3 linked regions of the Xenopus tropicalis genome follow. The main gene of each other region encodes a partner of the protein of the gene in region 3 in a complex. Links are inferred from orthologs where the notes say so. Each region holds a gene or a part of one and is shown on either strand. Other genes may lie near its edges. The genes, in order: kcnip1, kcnip2 and kcnd3.

Evidence for each region.
Region 1: the proteins of kcnd3 (region 3) and kcnip1 are in contact, whole or in part, in a crystal structure (PDB 2NZ0), measured with the Homo sapiens proteins. The link is inferred for Xenopus tropicalis from reciprocal best matches to the Homo sapiens genes KCND3 and KCNIP1. Residues at the interface, in NP_001365898.1 of Homo sapiens: Ala6, Ala7, Trp8, Leu9, Pro10, Phe11, Ala12, Arg13, Ala14, Ala15, Ala16, Ile17, Gly18, Trp19, Pro21, Val22, Pro26, Met27, Pro28, Leu29, Ala30, Pro31, Lys34, Lys36, Arg37, Asp39, Trp54; in NP_001030009.1 of Homo sapiens: Leu67, Arg69, Gly70, Phe71, Glu74, Val80, Phe85, Ile88, Tyr89, Phe92, Phe93, Tyr101, Leu105, Phe109, Phe122, Ala125, Leu126, Leu129, Leu130, Leu138, Trp140, Thr141, Leu144, Tyr145, Ile161, Val162, Ile165, Tyr166, Met168, Met169.
Region 2: the proteins of kcnd3 (region 3) and kcnip2 are in contact, whole or in part, in a cryo-EM structure (PDB 7W6S), measured with the Homo sapiens proteins. The link is inferred for Xenopus tropicalis from reciprocal best matches to the Homo sapiens genes KCND3 and KCNIP2. Residues at the interface, in NP_001365898.1 of Homo sapiens: Val5, Ala7, Trp8, Leu9, Phe11, Ala12, Arg13, Ala14, Ala15, Ala16, Ile17, Gly18, Trp19, Met20, Pro21, Val22, Ala23, Asn24, Cys25, Pro26, Met27, Pro28, Leu29, Ala30, Pro31, Asp33, Trp54, Arg60; in NP_775283.1 of Homo sapiens: Arg112, Gly113, Phe114, Asn116, Glu117, Cys118, Val123, Phe128, Ile131, Tyr132, Gln134, Phe135, Phe136, Tyr144, Leu148, Phe152, Phe165, Leu169, Ile172, Leu173, Arg180, Trp183, Ala184, Leu187, Tyr188, Met201, Met205, Ile208, Met211, His228.

Annotation. Positions count from the first base shown.
Region 1 is NC_030679.2:32,041,813-32,045,469, forward strand, and holds part of kcnip1 (Kv channel-interacting protein 1), read right to left. Parts: intron 2,656-3,657; coding exon 2,531-2,655; intron 1-2,530. UniProt on the Homo sapiens protein: Regulatory subunit of Kv4/D (Shal)-type voltage-gated rapidly inactivating A-type potassium channels. Regulates channel density, inactivation kinetics and rate of recovery from inactivation in a calcium-dependent and isoform-specific manner.
Region 2 is NC_030683.2:31,295,244-31,298,900, reverse strand, and holds part of kcnip2 (Kv channel-interacting protein 2), read left to right. Parts: coding exon 1-106; intron 107-2,725; coding exon 2,726-2,795; intron 2,796-3,657. UniProt on the Homo sapiens protein: Regulatory subunit of Kv4/D (Shal)-type voltage-gated rapidly inactivating A-type potassium channels. Modulates channel density, inactivation kinetics and rate of recovery from inactivation in a calcium-dependent and isoform-specific manner.
Region 3 is NC_030678.2:59,601,196-59,604,311, forward strand, and holds part of kcnd3 (potassium voltage-gated channel subfamily D member 3 precursor), read right to left. Parts: intron 2,647-3,116; coding exon 2,399-2,646; intron 1-2,398. UniProt on the Homo sapiens protein: Pore-forming (alpha) subunit of voltage-gated A-type potassium channels that mediates transmembrane potassium transport in excitable membranes, in brain and heart. In cardiomyocytes, may generate the transient outward potassium current I(To).

The sequences.
Region 1 (3,657 bases), on a different chromosome or scaffold from region 3:
AAATATGTCCCTACAATTTGTTTTGTAAATGTATATCTCCAAGTGAATTTAAAATGCCATTTTATACCTGTGCAAAAAGAAATCTCTTACCAGACATATAGACATGTAGACATTTTAATTTCAGGTTTACTGCATTATTTGCATGTTCGTTATCATAAAAGCCCCTAGCATTGAGTTAGCATCAGATGGGAAGGGGAGAGAACCCTGGAGCTGCCACCTGGTCAGGAGATGGTGGTGGCTGCAGGGTTCCCCTGAGTCAATAGGCGCACACAGGGGGACGGAAGGCAGGAATGACTGCAAGCCATTCCTATTCTTACTATGCAGAGGAGCATTTTGTCACAAATACCTTTAATGTAAGTGGTTTTATGAGCAAATGAATGTGGACTGCAACATACTTGCAAACCTCAAACCTTAGTTTCCAAATGTTCCAATTTGCACATTGCCGTTACAGACAAAGCACAGCAAACATATCACATCAGAGTATACACCACTCACTTTACTACTGTAATAATTTGACAAGCAATACTGGCTAACTGGCAATATTACCTTATGGGTTATAGGGCTCATTTACATCCACAAGTGCAGTTGCGGTCACCATCATTTCACCTGCAGTCAGTTACATGCACAACCACTTTCATTAAAGGTACTTATGCCAAAATGCTTTCTTTGCATTTCCATATAGTTACGCTCTGCATCACTCACATGGCAAACACTAGAAATGATGCTAGCTGGATTTCCGCGTAATGTGTTAATTTGGGCGAATCAGACTTAATCCCACAATTATCTGATATAATAGGATGTGATATGATATACCATGCCTGAGACAGCAACCTAAATAGTCCTAAAAGCATGTGCTTTACTTCTACCAAATAAGCCACTTTGCAGTTACTTCGGAATCGTGGAAAATATGTCAGTGTAGGTTAAAAAATTAAATTGCATCGGAAATTACACTTTGCACACTGAACATGTGTTTGTAAATAAGCCCTATAGTATTTTTAACATAAACCCCTTGTTTAGGTGTTACCCTCTTCTACCTCCCAAATACTTTTAGTTAGTTGGTGCTCCCCCAACAGTGTACCAGCTGGCAGGTCAGGCACTAGTGTTACATCCCCTCTCAGGGACTTCCACATGTGATATAATACATAACAGTCCCAAAAAGGATAATGCAATTAAGCTGGTTACATTTATGGAAAGTCTCTGTTATGAAGACATGCTGGCCAAGTTGGGGTTGTTCATACTAGAGAAAAAGTCACTTATGAAAAAGTGGGGATATGATAACTATGTATAAATATATAAGGGGATCATATAATAATCTCTCAAATGTTTAATTTACAAGTAGGTCCTTTCAGCAGATACGACACAAGGGCATCCAATCCAATTAGATGAATGAAGGTTCCCTCACATTATTTGAAAAAGGGTATTTTACAGTGAGAGCTGTGAAGTTGTGCAATTCTCTCCCTGAATCAGTCATATTGGCAGATACATTATATAGCTTCAAGAAAGGGTTGGATGGCTTTTTAGCAAGCGAGGAAAAACAAGGTTATAGAAGAAAGTGTTTAGTCCAAGTTGATTCAAGGACTGGTCTGATTGCCATCCTGGGGTCAGGAAGGAATGATTCCCCCTTGAAGACTTCAGATGGGGTTTTCCACTTTCCTCTGGATCAACTAGCGGTTAGGCAGGTTTTCACTTAGACAAAAAGGTTGAACTCAATAGACATGTGTCTCCTTTCAACCTTATTACTAGGTTACTATGTTTAAATCCGTTGGAGGTTTAAGATCCCCCTTAAAAATTATATGTTTGTGTGTATCAGTGTGAAAGATAATATATATAGAGGTGTCCATTTTAGAACCGTAGCATGTATAAATAAGGCTGTGCATGATTAACTGGGAATGCCCAACCTGCTTCCTACTAGCTCCCAAAAAGTGAAGTGATACAGGTAGGACACTTATGGTTTATAGTTTTGGCTAATTGAAGTATTGTTTCCGGTGGGAAAGCATATCGGGAGAGATTTGTCACCCAGAGTAGCCCAGATTTCCCCATAATGCTTTCCCATCGGCAATAAAATAAATCGATGATGGGAAAGCATATGCGGTACTTCATCTTCCAAAGTCATCTGAAGTTTCTTGGTAAGACAACTGCCTGTACCTTATGTTGTTAATTGGTTTCTAGAGCAAAGTTATTTATTTGAGCCAAGTGTTTTATTTTAGATTGGTTTCTTTTTCTGTGCCAAATACTTGCACTTCATAGTTTACCCCACAACCAACAACCGACCTATATCAACCTATACTACAAGATAATAAATACATTAATAAAACACTCTGCTGGGATGTGGGGGAAACTGGGATAGGGGAGGGCAAAGAGAAGTGGAGAGCAGAAGAACAGGATTTGAAAGAAGGGGAAAGATGGAGAAAGTATAGGAAAAAAGTTGAGAGAAGGGGACAGGAGAAGATAAAGGTGGAATTGGGGGAAAGAAGAGAGACTTAATCACATTTCAATATGTACATAATATTTACTTAATTTGCACACTTACATTTTTGAATCCTCTGTATAGAACTTGTAATTCCCTTTTGTTAAAGTTAGTCTGTGCTTCAAGCTGTTCGAGTCCTTCTGGTCGATAACAAACTGTTGTCATCTCCAACTCATCTTCTACTTTGTCTAAAACAGACAGCATGTCATATTTTAACTGTTTGGTTCTTTTTAATCTTTTTTAATCTCCTTAAAAAAAAATACAAAGCATGATTTATTCTTATTCGTTATATGATAGGCATTAGGTTACGACTTCTGTTTTAAAAATGGGTCAGTTCTGTAAAACCTTGACTTATGAACATTGCTGATTATAAAGCACATATTTTGAAAAAAAAAAATTCCAATATATTTCAATATATTTTTCCTAAGTTTACACTTAAACCATATTTTATTAGTTCAGTTTTAAAGAATTTCAGCAAATTTAGTATCACATTTCTAATCACTCATTAGGGCTCATTTTCTTTCACAAGTGCAGTGAGCAAAGTGCAATTTTGAGTGCAATTGGCATGTTTTTTTTTTACGATGCAGCGAGTTCCCAGGCGATTCTCTTGGTGCAATTGCTCTGCACCTCCTGCAGTTTGCCAAAATGGCAAAAATTGATGCAGGATGCAGTGTCATTAGACACAGCACCGCACGATTAGGAACAGAAGGCAGAAAGGACAGAGCAGAGCCTAGTGCAACTATAAAGAGGAGCACATTTTGGCGCTACTACATAATAAAAAAAAAGGGCAAGTTGCCCACTGCGCTTGTGGATGTAAATAAGCCTCTATTATCTTGTGTAGGTAAAAATCTGTTATTTGTAAAGTTGGAAAAATAAGTTGCAGTAACCTATAGCAACAAATCAGTAGGTAGCATTTAGGGCCGTGGCAGGCGGGGAGATTAGTTGCCGCGCGACAAATCTCCCCAATATGCCATCCCACTGGCTAGAATGTAAATTTCCGGTGGGATGGCATATGCGGCACCAAAATGACAGAAGTTTCCTCTCATGGCAATTTCGACGATTTCAGCAAATCGTTGTGCCGCGCCGCGTATGCCACCTCACTGGCAATTTACACTCTCGCCGGTGGGATGGCATATCGGGGAGATTAGACGCCCGCGACAATTGAGATTTGTCGAGGGCGACTAATCTCC
Region 2 (3,657 bases), on a different chromosome or scaffold from region 3:
TGAGCTGTCTACCGTTTGTCACCGTCCTGAAGGATTGGAACAGCTACAAGAACAAACCAAATTCACCAAAAAAGAACTTCAGGTTCTATATCGAGGCTTTAAAAATGTGAGTATGAGATTAAAACAAGCTGGATCTCTTTATAATATTATAAATATTGCCTTAGCCATTGGGGTGAAGTGAATGTATGGCAACAGGGCTGGTTTCACACTGAAAGGAAAGAGTATTGTCTTTAAAAAGCCAGATATTAAAAGTATGATTAGATAACATCTTTCATCTAGAAATAAAATATTTTTGGCAGTAGCAGTTTTATAAAGATTTACACAAAGATTTATCAGCATGCAGGGACAGGATTTACATTTTATTTCACTTTTGCCAGTACAGGTATGGGATCCGTTATCCGGAAACCCGTTATCCAGACTCCATTTTAATCAAATAATTCAGATTTTTAAAATTGATTTCCTTTTTCTCTGTAATAATAAAACAGTGCCTTGTACTTGATCCCAACTAAGATATAATTAATCCTTATTGGGGGCAGTACAGCCCTATTGGGTTTATTTAATGTTTAGTTAATGTATAGCCTGCTTGGAAATAGGGTATATAAGAATCAGTATCATATATGTAAGACAGAGCCCCCATTCTGGGTTTGACTGGTGCAGGCCTCCTTCTACTCAGCATGGTCGTTGCACATGTGAAGGTGCTAACATGCACGGTGCCCTATAAAGGGGAAGGATAGCTAAAATGGTAATACCTGGAGGGTAAGTGATTTCAGATCAGAGGGCTCTGTCTAAAGGTGGCCATACACGCACCGATATTATCGTACGAAACCTCGTTTCGTACGATAATCGGTGCGTGTATGGTATGTCAGCGAGCCGACCGATGTCGCAGGAAGCTGCTGAAATCGGTCGGCTCGTCGATCGGCCAGGTTAGAAAATTTTGATCGGGCGCCATAGAAGGCGCCTGACCAAAATTCTCCCTTCAGAGCTGAATCGGCAGAAGGAGGTAGAAATCCTATTGTTTCTACCTCCTTACCTGCCGATTCAGCCCTGAATGGTGTGTGGCGGATCTGACGATGTTTCGTGCGACCGATGGTCGTACGAAACATCGTCGGATCGCCACGTGTATGGCCAGCTTTATGTGGCCTAAATGGCATAAAGCTGTTGGCCATGGGAAGCAGCTGAACAGTCCAAAAAACCCTTTCTCTTTGTCACAGGCTTTCATTGCTCAGAAGAGTGAAACCAGATTGCACATCACATTTAAAGCAAACAAAACTTTAGCAGTCTCAGATACTCTCTGTATGAGTGCATTTTACTTTTATTTTTCCAGAACCATTGATCAGATTCTATTAGGTACGATAAACAGCAAGTGGTAAGGGAACTGTCCCTTCCATTATTTTTCATATTATCCTAACACTGCCAGTATAAAGTGGTGATGCCACAGTGGCCTCCCAAACTGATTTTAAAAGAGTATTGAGAACCTAATACTTAGATATGAACAGTGAATTTAGAAAATGTATGTCCGAACCAACATGGCCATACCCTCCATGTATTTCTGAATGCTATATTGACGCATGGTCTATCATTGGTTTTTAAGGATATTACAGTTCTGGGGGGCCTTGGGTAAGTTTCAATCAATACAAGCCTTAATTACATATACAGAGGATAATCTGGTCTCCAGTTTATTAGAAGCCAACATGTGAAATTCTGCCAATTATTCTTAATATAAACTCAGAAGAAAAGATCACCTTGAACAGCTGGTGATTTATCAAGCCGAAACGGAGCTGGAATATCATTTTTGTGCCAGGGGTATACATTCGTGTTGCAATTAACTGCTGAACCTGTTGCCATTTCATAGGTTCATGCTAAAAAAGACAAGGACTATGAATAATTAGATAGTCATCAGGCTAGTTATCAGTTTATGCTTGTTAGAAACTGCAAAAATATAGACTACATAGGGAGTTATGTAATAAAAGTCACTAAGTTTGCCCAGGAGCAGTAACCCCTATCAACCAATCAGCAGGTAGAATTTACTGATCACCTGTTTAAAAGCAAACATTTTACTGGTTGCTGTGGGTTACTGCTACAAACCTAGTGCCTTTTTATCACATATGGGGTAAGAATTTCCAACCTGCTGACCCCACATTGCAAAGCCAATATCCTAACAGCTAAAGATCTTAATTAGGATGTAGGGTGGACGTTGGGTTGTCTACCTTTTTGTCTTCTCTGATATTTTAGTTTCTTCCATGGAAGCACATAACAGTCAAAATCAAGCTGATGACCCTCCCTCCCCAGCCAGAAATGTCCAGCCCTACACCCAGCTCTTGGATACATCTATTTTCAGGAGTTTGGGACATTTCTGGCAGGGTATCTTGGGTTCCCGAAATCCATCCTACTTGAAGTTCTGTGGCTACATAGACCACTTGCCTAAACTTTCACAAAAGTGTGGTGTGTGCAGTTCATCAGGACATGCTAAAGTGGTGCACTGGTGCTAATTGCAAGTTGCAGTGTGTATGGGCACAGGTATCTCTGTGAATCATGTTTAAATGCACGCAATTTTGCACTATTCTATCTAAAAATGAATTCCTGATTGGTTCCTATGTTACCTGCACTGGTATAGACTTGCACCTATGTTAGTAATTAAGCCTAATGATCTGTTACAGTGCCATAAGATATCAACTGTCAAGCATTTTAACATTAAATATCAATATATTCTTCTTTTTATTAACAGGAATGTCCAAGCGGAATTGTTAACGAAGAGAATTTCAAACAGATTTACTCACAGTTTTTCCCACAAGGGGGTGAGATTTAATTTTTTTCAGAAATGTATTTAAAATAATTTTAGTCTGTAACAGGTATAAACAGCTTCTTTTGCAGTATTTTACCTGCACACCCATTCTTCCTTCCCCATAACCTACTGATGAAAAGCAAGTCTTAAGGTCCCCATACACGGGCCGATTGTAGCTGCTGATATCGGTCCCTTGGAACGATTCGGCAGTTAATCAGCCCCGTGTAGGGGCAGGAACGAGGGGCGTGGCCGACCGATATCTGGCCTGAAATTGGCCAGATATCGATCGGCCAGGTTAGAAAATCCAGTCGGATCTGGGACCGCATCGGCTCGTTGATGCGGTCCCCGAACCAACTGCCCCATTGCCGCGTGCAGAATTTGATCGTTTGGCCCCAGGGCCAAATGATCGAATTCACCTGCATGCCTCCCCGATATTGCCACCCGCCAAGCGAGCGGATCTGCCTGTGTATGGCCAGCTTTAGGCATCATTCCACTCCTGCTAACTCTGATTTTTAAATTTTGTCTCTGCTAGTGCAGGGAGCACAATTGCACTCTCTGCACTAGTGATGCAGCCCCCATTGTCCGTCTGTGACGTTCAGAAAAGTAAGCACTGGTTGCAATGAGGGACGGCATCTGAAAGGCCACCTCGGGGTGGCAAGGACCCCAGAAGCCCCCCTGCTTGTGGGTGATTATCACAGGAAATTACTGTACAATAGCAGTCTAGAGCAAGGAAGAGTCTTATTTTATTTATGTTCCTTAATCCTTTCTTTCACTTCTTGTTTTGTCTGACCAACATATGCTTTACCACAAAGGCTTAAATAATTAAATAAATTGCATTCATAGTTTCACAAGTAGCATAAACTCTTTGACAAAAT
Region 3 (3,116 bases):
TATGCTACCCCTTTCCCCCCCCATGCTTACCTCTACAGTACTGAGGGGGGTCCAGGGGGGTTGCATTGCTAGCGTAGAGAGAACAATTGTAGCCACTGTACTAGAAGAGCAGAATGTCTGGTTTAATAACTAAAATTTAGCTCTTAATGTTACCAGGAACGTGTTTTTGCAACCCCTTGTATCTTTTAGGGCAGTGCTGTCAAACTTCTGTGCTACTGAGGGCAGGATTTTTTCTGGCCTACATGATGGAGGCCAGATAATGGAAGCCAGTAAACCACACCCACTTGAAACCATACCCGTGTTATCACATGAACATACCAATATTAATGGTGGTAGTACAGCAAAAACCTGACTTACTCTGCCTTCCCTACCCTGCCTGTGTGTGCCATACTCTGTCTGCCCTATTCTGCCTGTGTGCCATACTCTGCCTGCCCTATGCTGCATGTGTGTGCCATACTCTGTCTGCCCTATGCTGCCTGTGTGTGCCATACTCTGCCTGCCCTACCCTGCCTGTGTATACTATACTCTGTCTGCCCTACCCTGCTTGTGTGTGCCATACTCTACCTGCACTATGCTGCCTGTGTGTGCCATACTCTACCTGCCCTTTGCTGCCTGTGTGTGCCATACCATGCCTGCCCTATCCTGCCTGTGTGTTCCATACGCTGTCTGCCCTATTTTGCCTGTGTATGGCACACACAGGCAGCATAGAGCAGGCAGAGTATGGTACACACAGACAGCATACAGTGGCACAATGCTAGCACTGCTCCTACAGTCTGCATAATAACTATATATTAAGAAACTTTTTAATTGCAGTACCACCTCAGTATAGGTTCTTTTTATAGTGTGCAGGGTTTATTTGTGGGTTTCTACTGTTCCTACATTCTGTTCGAGGTGTGAACAGGTGAACAATGTGGGGTTTACAGTCAGAGCCTGAGGTACAATGCAGAGGGTGAACAATGTAGAGATTAAAAGGTGTGAAAACACAGGGGATTACATTTTTAAAAAATACAGGGGGTTTACAGCCTGAGATGTGAACAATGCAGGGGGCCAGTTAATCACAGTACTGATACTATTTAAAGCTTACACAAAGGTAAGCCATTACAGCAGCCAGACAGGTGGGGGGCCACACAGAGGGGGGTCGGGGCCACCAGTTGGACAGCACTGTTCTAGGGTTCTCAAGGCACAAGCACCCTTGCACAAGCTCTTATCCTAAGTATATCTCTAGAACTCCTGCCATTAAGGCAAGTTAAGATTCCTATTTTTCTATAGCTTTTTCAAAATCTTTCATCTATAAACATTCAATTGTTGAAAATTCTAGCTGCTATGATTAAATCATATAACAGCAACATATTATACAGCACTTTATGGAGAATGTTAATTATCATTCACATAGTTCCTGCCACAGTAGCGCTTACACTCCCTAATATATACATATTCTTACTACCCGCCACTAACAATATTAGCTTCAATTCTCCTGGTTTTGTTTCTCTTCCCATTCAATCTGTTTAATGCTAGAAACAGGCCCTCTACTTCATGAAATCTGAAAATGTATTGCCCCAGGGGATGATTTAAAGAGCCACTATACCGTAATATTTTAATTTATCCTTTACAGTTCACTTTGGATTTGGGTAATGGAAATATTTTGAACTGAATGTATATTTATATTCTTTTCTACCATCTGCCAAAGAATTTCTCTTCAGCTTGTTGGTTGTCTAGCCAAAAAACATCTTTATTAATTCACATAGCTCCTTATTGTGTAATAATCTTTCTTCAATAAGACAAATCTGGTGTGACCTAATAGTCAAGGTATTGTTGCATGGTATTTTGAGGGTGTAAAAGAAGAACAGGGTCATAAACAGAATTCTGCATATAAGAGATGAGGTTTTCTCACAGTGTTTTCCCTGAAAATAGAACTCCAATAAATTTGAAGTGTAGAAAGGTTGTAAAAGGATCCCAGAAATAATGGGGGCCATTTACCAACACAAGTGCAATGTGCAAAATGCAATTTCTGATGCAAATTAGAGTATTTTATCCCTACAATACAGAGCTTTTTTACCATAATTCCAATTATGATATAAAAGAGGATGCCCCAATGACAGAATATACTACAAATACTATATTATTGCAAACACGCTTGTGTTTGCACAAGCATGCTTTGCTGAGTTGTGTCCCATTTGATTTATGCTGCATCCAGGTCAAAGTCCATATTATCCTGTGGAGTGATCACTTATTACAGCATGTCTTATAAATTACATATCACATTATGAATGCGACAGTGGAGTCACAATTGTAAAAAGGTTTACTCCATCATATTACTACAGCGACATTGTTGTAATCTTTCCATCTTCTGTAAAATACTTTGACAGCTATTTACTAATATCTTTTTATGCACACTCACCTAGCTGTTAAAGATGGTTGGTCACTGCACTGTATGTGAATAGTGCTGAGTTCCTGCATGCTGCGCAACCTTGTTGCCGGCACATTGGAGTTAGGGAGGTGGGTGGTCTTTTTGTTGCGTCTGGAACAGCAGGAGGTGGTGAGCCCATGGTTACTGGATAGGGATGGGCTGCGACTAGATGGGTAGTTTTGCATGGAGCTCTCCCTGCAGTTCTGTTCAAACATCTGCTCATCCATAAATTCATGGTTCTGTGGAGATACCAGGTGTAAGTAGTACTAAAAACAGTGTATGAAGGCAAAAGGTTAATCATAGAGAAGCATAAACATAACACATCAGCGTGAAAAAATTCCAAGGAAACCATAAATATTGATCTCAGAGCTTTATAGGGTAACTTGAAAAGGGTAACTGAAAATCATGAAGAATATCAAAACCAATGTATGGAGAATGGGAAAGCTGGTTTAACAGTAGTTGCTTCAACAAAAACAATTGATAATTGATCATTTATTTCTTATAGTTTTTATATTTTTCTGCTGTTCCAAGAGATAAGCCAGAAATGTTTCCAATTAACAAAGGTGGTTCAGTGAAAATAACCCTGTAAGTTAGGTAATAATGCTAAGCATTCTTATAGTTAAGTACAAAGTACCCTAGCTAGAAAACTTTACTTTGTGGGTATTTTAGTGTATATTCCCATATTACATTTAAAGTAATATCTCATTTA